2 linked regions of the Drosophila melanogaster genome follow. The protein of the gene in region 1 interacts with the protein of each later gene in a pairwise test. Each region holds a gene or a part of one and is shown in the gene's direction. Other genes may lie near its edges. The genes, in order: CG17260 and Prosbeta2R1.

Region 1 (4,355 bases):
TTATATTTACCATTTTATGCCGCATGTCCATTATCAGACCAGGATTCAGCTGTTTAGAATCTTCTCCTTCAATCAGAAGCCTCTCCTGTCGCCTACCAACGTAGTCCGTCTCGATTAGGCGACGCACTGCATCCGTCTTTAGTCCCAAAGGGTTCGCCTGCAGGTGGCGCTTGCGTATGCGGTCCCAGCGAGTCTCCTTGCTCGGCTTCTCACGTCGCTTAGGATGCGACATCTTTATAAAACAATTCTTTCACACTGTGATAGTTAAATTACGTCTACTCAATTTAAAAATGATTTGTGAACTTGGGAAAATTTCGTAAACAAGTTGAACATATTGTCCTGACAACGAAAACTGCCGGCCGGGGTGACTTTCCCTATCAACCATTATTATTATTAGGATAGAATCTATTGGGCAGATATTATTTTTTATACCGCCATTTGAAAAAAAAACCTTTATCCCCTAATAACAAAGACTGTCGATTGCATTCAAAGCACAGCTTGATCCAGTTTAATCGTTATAAAGTTTCTATAAATGCCATAAATATTAGATAAGTCGATAAGTAACAAAAATTTTGTGGACTTTGCAAGCTTAGTTTAGCAGTATATTTCGTAGTAAATTATGTGAACTTTAGGCTTAACCGGCGGCAGGGTCCTTCTTGGTTTTCTCCTTTTTGCCTTTCTGCTTCTCGGCGGCGGCCAACTCCAGATCAATGGGAGCGGGCTTGACGAACGGAATCTCATCCTGGAACTTCGCCGGCATGTACTTCTTCAATGGCTCCGGCACCTTGATGCCCGTCTCTGTCTGATGGGTCTCCAGGATGGCGCAGATGACGCGAGTGGCTGCGCACATCGTGGCGTTCAGCATGTGCACATAGTCTACGGCGGCGTTCATCTTCTTAGTCTGGCCGAAACGGACGAGCAGACGACGGGCCTGGTAGTCCAAGCAGTTAGAGCACGAGACAAGTTCCCTGTAAGCGCCGCTGCCGCCGAACCAGGCCTCGAGATCCAGCTTCTTGGAGGCAGCATGGTTGAGGGCACCGGAAACGATGTTAACAACGCGATATGGAATGCCCAGCGACTGGCAGAACTGCTCCGCATTCCCGATCATCTCGTCCATCATCTCCCACGACTTGTTGTCGTGTGGGGAGGTCAGTACGAACTGCTCCACCTTCTCGAACTGGTGGACGCGGAAAATGCCGCGAGTGTCGCGTCCGTGCGAGCCCACTTCCTGTCGGAAGCAGGTGGACAGACCAGCATACTTAATGGGCAGCGAAGACTCCGGTAGCCATTCATCGCGATGGTAGGCGGCGATAGGCTGCTCTGAGGTGGCGATCAGGTACTTCTCATCGATGCCCACCTCCTCCGCCTTCTCGCTGCCCTTGCCCACCACCTTGTAGAGCTCCTCGTCGAACTGTGACAGCTGGGCCACCTCCTGCATTACCTCCTTTCGCATGAAGAAGGGCGTGTACAGGGGAACGTAGTCACGGGCGTACAGCAGGTGCAGAGCGTGCTGGATAAGAGCCTGCTCCAAAAAGACTGCGGCTCCGGTAAGAAAGTAACCACGTCCGCCGGACACCACGGCTCCTTTCTCCGCGTTCATGCCGTCGATCATCACGATGAGGTCCACATGCGAGTACTTGCCGCGCTTTTCGCAGTCGCCAAAGGTGCGCTCCACGCGGTTCTCGTCCTCGTCGTTAGACACAGGCACGGACTCGTGCAGGTGGTTGCCCACCTCCCGCAGTGAGGTGTTCCTCGTCTGCTCGGCAAGCTCTAGCGACTTCTGGTTCTCGGTCATTGCGTCGTCGATGAGAACGCGTAGCTGCTTGATCTGGTTGACGGTCAACGGCTGCAGTGTCTCGGCTACAATCTCTGTGAGGTCCTTGGTCACGTCTGCGGGCAGGTCCTCGCTCATGGCACCAACCGGCTCCTTCTTCTTCATCTTCTCGCCGATCACCTTGCTGCAGACGTTCTTGACCTTGTTCAGGTTGTCGGCACGGTGGCGGCACTGACGCCACTCCGTATCCTTGGCGATCACAGTCTCCACCAGCGCCACATCCTTGAAGCGCTTCTTTTGATTTTCGCGCACGAGGTCCGGGTTGCCCCCCTTGTCGCTGCGAAACAGATCCAGATCCAGCACCATTTTAGTTACCCTTTATTTCAGTTTCAGTCGCGTATTAGCTTCGATTCTCTCGCGTTTCGTCGGCGTTTTCACAACGTGGCTAGGCTTTTCGTCAGCTGGGCAGTGCTGGAAAGCGATGGTGGTAAGTGCATATTTTGGCTGAGATTATGACGAAGTTCATTCTTGTGACTCATCAAATTTCTAAGTGCTTCTGAAAAGTTAACCCAAGAATTTTATAATGTTTTTTTATATTTTCTGTTTAGTTATTTCCCATAAGAAATACCCTTTATAACCAGAATAACATAACTGACAATATAAATATCGCTTAAAACGTACACTTTATTCGTCATCATTTGAAACATACATGTCAGCAATTCACAACACTACTTGCTTTTAGCAGCTGTTCAAAATAGTCCAATAGGAGGAGAACAGCAGCGAATTCGCAACAGATTCCGACTTCAACAATGAGCTTTATTGACCAGGAAGTCACGGAGTTCCGAGCAAAATGTGAGAAGCAGGTGCCGCACACGAAGATCATTATTTGCTCCAACTCGCTGATCCGGGTTGACATATACCCGGAGCGGCCGAATCGCTCGATGACTATGTGCCTTCGATTTCCAGAAAACTACCCGCAGAGCACCCAAATTCTGGTGGAGCTGAAGAGTCGTGTGTACTCCGAAATGCTTCTGACGGAGCTTACCCGGCTGATCGACGACTATGCCAGGGATTTCATCGGGAAGCCACAGGCATTGCAAGTGCTGGCCTTCGCCCAACAGTATTTAACTGATAATCCGCTGTGCGTGTGCTTGGAGGAGATCAAGCAGCTGAGAGCGGACATCAAGACTGGAGGCACGGAGAGCCAGTTGAAGCTGAAGCAGAAGAACAAAAGCGTGGAGCTGGTCGCCAAGGGCGGACGCTACACCTACAGAGTAATCGCTGTTGTTCCGGACAGCTATCCCATGCAGAGTGTGGAGCTGCGCGGTCAAGATTCCAATCTCCCAGCCGTGCTCGTGCGTTACCTAAACGGCCAGTCAAAGGAAATAGCCCGGCAGTGCGTGGAGCCACCGATCCGTATGAGCAAGGAGGCTCTAGCCAATTTTCGGCCTGTTAGGAGTCTGCAACGCTCGCTGAAATTCTGCCTGGAAGCCACCCGGGACTTTCACACCGAGCGTTGTCCCATATGTGATAGTACCGTGCTACCCGAATACCCAGAGGACATAGAAACGGATGACAATGCCGACTTCTTCATCGAGCGCGTCTACTGTGGTCATCTCTTTCACCAAGGCTGCCTTAAGAAATACCTATCGGAGCCTCCGTTTCCAAAGGGTGGCAAATTATGTCCCGCCGCGCGTCGCCATCCTCGTTCCGATGCCCAGACCTATATGGGCAGGTCACAGGGAGGAGGAGCCACCGTTTCCAAAACTCCGGAGGACACTGTGTGCGGCATCAAGCTGGCTCACGATCGGTGGGTGGTCAGCGTAAAGACCGCAGAGGCGCGCTGGGCCCAGAAACAGGCTCGCCAAAGAGAACTGGAGGAGGTGGTCGACTTTCTGCAATAACAGATGATCGACTCAAGAACAGCTTACTGTGTATGGTTATGTATTTTGTGATTTCTATTCGAATACGCTTATATTGCTAAAGATTAAATAAATAAAGTGAAGATGAAGTGCGACTAGGTTGGTTTGGGCAAGTGTTTCGTCTATCCTGTTAACGCAATTGAGCACACTGCGGTGTTACAGTCTTTTTTAAAGATTTAAAAATAAAATAATAAATTAACTAGTCTAAGGAAAATTTTCAATCAATTTTCGGTTTAGGTTGTGAGAATCAGGCAAATGCTCTTATCAAATTCTGCGAAAGTGTTCGAGGAAACTTGTTTGTTAGATGTACGCCTAAGTTTTAGTTACAGAATTTTAGATTGCAACTATAACCAGGCTTGGTAGTTCGGTCTAGGATGAAGAAATTTGCTGGAAGCCCTTTGGTGCAGGCTTATTTGGCTAAACTTCAGAAATCCGTTACTATTTCGTCGTCCTCATACCGCTTGATGGGATCTCCCTTGATTAGTGACGAAATAAGGCTGTAAAGACAAGAATCAGATAACTTCGTAGAGATGAACATGCAGTTTTCAACGTCTAACTCACCAGTACAACCCCACGAAGAACATAACGAAGTAGTAGCCCAGATAAATCATACAATTTCTCAGATGGACCTTTAGCAATCCCCGACTGTGTATGTCCAC
Region 2 (3,929 bases), on another chromosome or scaffold:
TTGGATGTGTGCTAATAGCGCAGTGCAGTGGTCCACAAGGATGCAAGCGCCATTCGAGTGGGACTAGCCAGTAAATGGGAAATGGACAGCAAGGCAACATCAAAGGACTCATCATGGCGTCGTTTTTGAAATTGGCATCGCTCCCTTTGTGTTTGTGTGTGTGAGTTCTCAGCTAACTGAAAGTCATTAGCATGCTAAATATTGGCAGCAGGCTAGGCGAAAATTTCCATTAAAAAACCGCACTTTGACTATAAAGAGTGAGAAATGGAAAAATGTATCCAGTTTGCTGGATAGTTCTTATTAAGTATCTAAGCAAAAGGTCAGCTTCTCAGAGCCATTCGATAACTTAAACACCAGTTACTTAATCAATAACCAGATGACATCGAGTGACTATCTTATTTATTTATGGCGTTATTTGCGGCAACCCAAATAAACATCCACCAAACGGGCCCCAAATGACTTTATAATCTTATTAAATTTTAATCTTCCAATCAGCTAAGGACGCAACCTTTTGTCAGTGGCGGCATTTCACCATAATTATCCTGGGCAAAGTTACGGCCACATAAAATGAAGGGAAACCCTAAAAAAAAAGAAAAGAAAAGAAAAAAAAAAGGGATTCCCATGGAGGGCAGAACAACCTGTTCGATTTCTTTTTTTTTTTTTTTTTGAGGGTAAGTGCGGGCGTCAAACTTTTCCAATTGCTGTTAACAAAACAGAAATCAAAATTGAATGCCAAGTCTTGATTAGTTTTCCATTTTTAGGCCTGCCATCGGATGTCGATTCTCGCCGAATTTTCGCCGTCAGGTGTTTGTGCTGCCGCCTAATTGAAAAGCCAACTGCTGTCCAAAAACGGAAAATCCCGGACGAAAATATTGCGAATGGCAGTGGTAAAAAAGAAAATTACTCTAGCTGCATTTGCATTTGTTGCAAAAGTTTTGCGGCCCTAAATTGCGGAGGAAAAGTTTTTCGAGGCTTGAAAAAGCGAAGGATGAAAGCTCTTCTAATTGTAGGCACTTTAAGAATCCCTGTTGATTCAGCATTTTTCTCAAAAACATTTCAATTAATACATATATCTCACTCTTCGTATTATCTGTATGTAAACTCTTTTTTTTTTTTTTAATTGAATAACATATACATGAACGTAATATGGCGAAGTCCTTTTGGTGGTTTGGTAACCCAACTGAAGTGAAGTGAAATCACAGCTTGAAGTGAACATTGCAATCGTCGCAGTTTGCTGGCCAAATGTTGATTAAAATATAATTGTATTCTAATTAATGCTAATTGATTTGTGCCACATGTGCTGGTGTCGGCCATCTGAAACTGACCAAGTTACAAGGACATATTCCCATTCCCATTCCCATTTCCATTTCCACTCGCTCGGCTTGAGTATCCGTGTCCTTGGATTATGGAGCACCCACACGAATGCAAATGCAAGTGCAAATACAAATACAAATACAAATACAAATACAAATACAAATACATATGCAGAGCTGTCAGTTCATATTTGTGCGCGTGAGTGTGTTTGTGTGTGTGTGTGTGCGTGTGAAAGGACACACATTCTCATGTCAGATGGACAAACTTTCGACCACACACGCACGCCCACGCACACACACACACTCAGGCAATCGCACTCACATGCAGATTCGTGGGCTAGGCAACCAATTAAGCTTTGTCAAATTGTTTGGCATTTGAAGTGCAGTTGGTAAATGGGTGGCATTGGGTGGAAATGGGTGGAAATGGCTGCCGCTGCATCGATAACTTTTCACCGGTCACTTTTTTATGATGGTCTTCCAAACGAGTGCACATTTCCGATTTCTTTACGCTCAAGCACATTTCCAATCGATTCCAAAGTATTTCGTTTTAAAATCCTTCTCTTCATTAAGCGAAAAAATCAATTGTCATCATGAATATGCAATTTTTAGACTATTTATGGGCTCTCAGTGTTTGCAGGCGAAAAACATAAAACTTGTGACTATAATTCGTAGAAGCAAATATTAAACTTTGTTTATTTTTTTAACCATTGATAAGTTATCTTTGATTTTACTGTCTAGCTAACGCACTACATTATATATTTACATACATCCGCACGATGCTCTTTCCTTTTTCCGCCCGAAAGGCGAATACATCCGCTGATTTTGTTGGCTTGCGGTCCGGATTCAACTTTATAAATTGCAGGCGGTAAGAGACATGTTGATCATTATGAATATATCCAAAACGAATAGATTTTCTCCACAGAAATGCCGAGCTTTTGTCCAAGGGATATGAGCCACCGAAGGCGATCAAAACAGGCACCTCCATTGTGGGCATCATCTACAAGGACGGCGTTATCCTGGGCGCCGACACTCGTGCCACCGAGGGACCCATTGTTTCCGACAAGAATTGCTCAAAAATTCACCACCTTCAGGATCACATATAGTGAGTACCCAGCATTCGCTTGATGCGCCTTTGAAAATGGACCCCTACATATCTGCATTACCCATTCGCAGCTGTTGTGGCGCGGGCACCGCTGCCGACACCGAAATGATTACCCTGACGACCAGCGCCGAGCTGGATTTGCACCGGCTGAACACCGAACGACGGGTGCCGGTAGTCTGTGCGAGCATGATGCTTCGCAGGACCCTCTTTCGCTACCAGGGTCACATTGGTGCCGCCTTAGTGATGGGCGGCGTGGACACGACTGGGCCGCAGCTGTACTGCATCTATCCGTGCGGTTCCAACGATAAGATACCCTACGCGGCCATGGGCTCCGGCACCTTGGCAGCCATGTCGGTGCTGGAGCACGGCTGGAAGCCCGATCTCGACCTGGAGCAGGGCAAGCAGCTGGTCCGCGAGGCCATCTCGGCGGGTGTGTTCAACGACCTGGGCTCCGGATCCAATATCGATTTATGCGTGATCACCGCAAAGGGAGCGGTTTACCTGAGAACCGATACGATTGCCAGCGAGAAAGGCGAGCGGTTGGGCAAATACGGCATTAAGCCCAACTCCACTATGGTCACCTCGATCTCCGTGCTGAGTCTGCAGGTCACCGATGAGCGAATCTATGCAGTGGATGATCAACAGCCGGGCACCAGTGGCGTTCAGTTGGATTCCCAGCAAGCGGATGAGGAACTGCCCGAAGGATCGCAGACTAAATCACCATAGACATCCATACCATATATTTCAGTTCGAGCAAATTAACCGTTAAATAGCCACATGGCTTTACATAAATGTTAATGCATTCACAGAATGCAAAGATTGCCTAGAAATTCTGGCATCATGTTGTTGCTTCTGCGACTCTGGGCTGCCAGGAACATCAGGCGTTTTTCCTAGGGGGCATAGAATGTGCGGGAAAGTTGTAAAGTTGGTCATGCCCACTAGAGAGCACTGGCCAAAAATTCAGAACAAACGAACGGAACTCCCGTGGTATGGCAGTCAAATAAATCAAGAGATGTGCCAGCTCTTTTCTCACAGTGTAGCTGGTTGCGAATCCGAACCCGTCGCGTGGCCTAGCATTCTGCTCGAAAATTGTTTGAATCTCTTCGCAATTCCCAATGGTTGGACTGCCATCAATCCGGCAAAGCATCTGGGGAGTCCTTTTGGCGGAGAATGCGGTGAATGGATTTGAAGGAGGCCAGGTGTTTGTCCGCCCGTAATCGGGATCCAACTTCACTAGCATCCCATCAGGCGATGAACTGCGAGGACGTGTAAATAAGGCCAGGAATTCGAAATGGGGATGCACAAGATACAGGATACAGGACTTGGGACTAGAGAACTGGAACTCCGGCGGAGACCAGCATCATTATAAGATTATATCGCAAGTCCACTCCTTGCCACACATCCTCATCCTTTGGTGGTGGGAAAGGTGACTCTGATTTTGTTTTGTCGACTGTTTGCCTCGGCCACCTTTGCCTTGTGCCCACTATGCACAGGTGCTCCAGTACGCCCATCTG

What was found.
Region 2: the proteins of CG17260 (region 1) and Prosbeta2R1 interact in a two-hybrid assay, tested with the Drosophila melanogaster proteins (one large-scale study listed by BioGRID).

The regions. Positions count from the first base shown.
Region 1 is NT_033779.5:3,035,011-3,039,365, forward strand, and holds CG17260 (uncharacterized protein), read left to right. Parts: upstream 1-2,219; 5' UTR 2,220-2,261; exon of another isoform or gene 2,262-2,393; intron 2,394-2,400; exon of another isoform or gene 2,401-2,519; 5' UTR 2,520-2,583; coding exon 2,584-3,678; 3' UTR 3,679-3,783; downstream 3,784-4,355. Other genes in the region: CG17258 (uncharacterized protein), read right to left, coding at 11-232; SerRS (Seryl-tRNA synthetase), read right to left, coding at 635-2,140; cnir (cornichon related), read right to left, coding at 4,121-4,193, 4,258-4,355.
Region 2 is NC_004354.4:5,806,917-5,810,845, forward strand, and holds Prosbeta2R1 (proteasome beta2 subunit-related 1), read left to right. Parts: upstream 1-2,037; 5' UTR 2,038-2,089; coding exon 2,090-2,178; intron 2,179-2,235; coding exon 2,236-2,415; intron 2,416-2,486; coding exon 2,487-3,141; 3' UTR 3,142-3,242; downstream 3,243-3,929.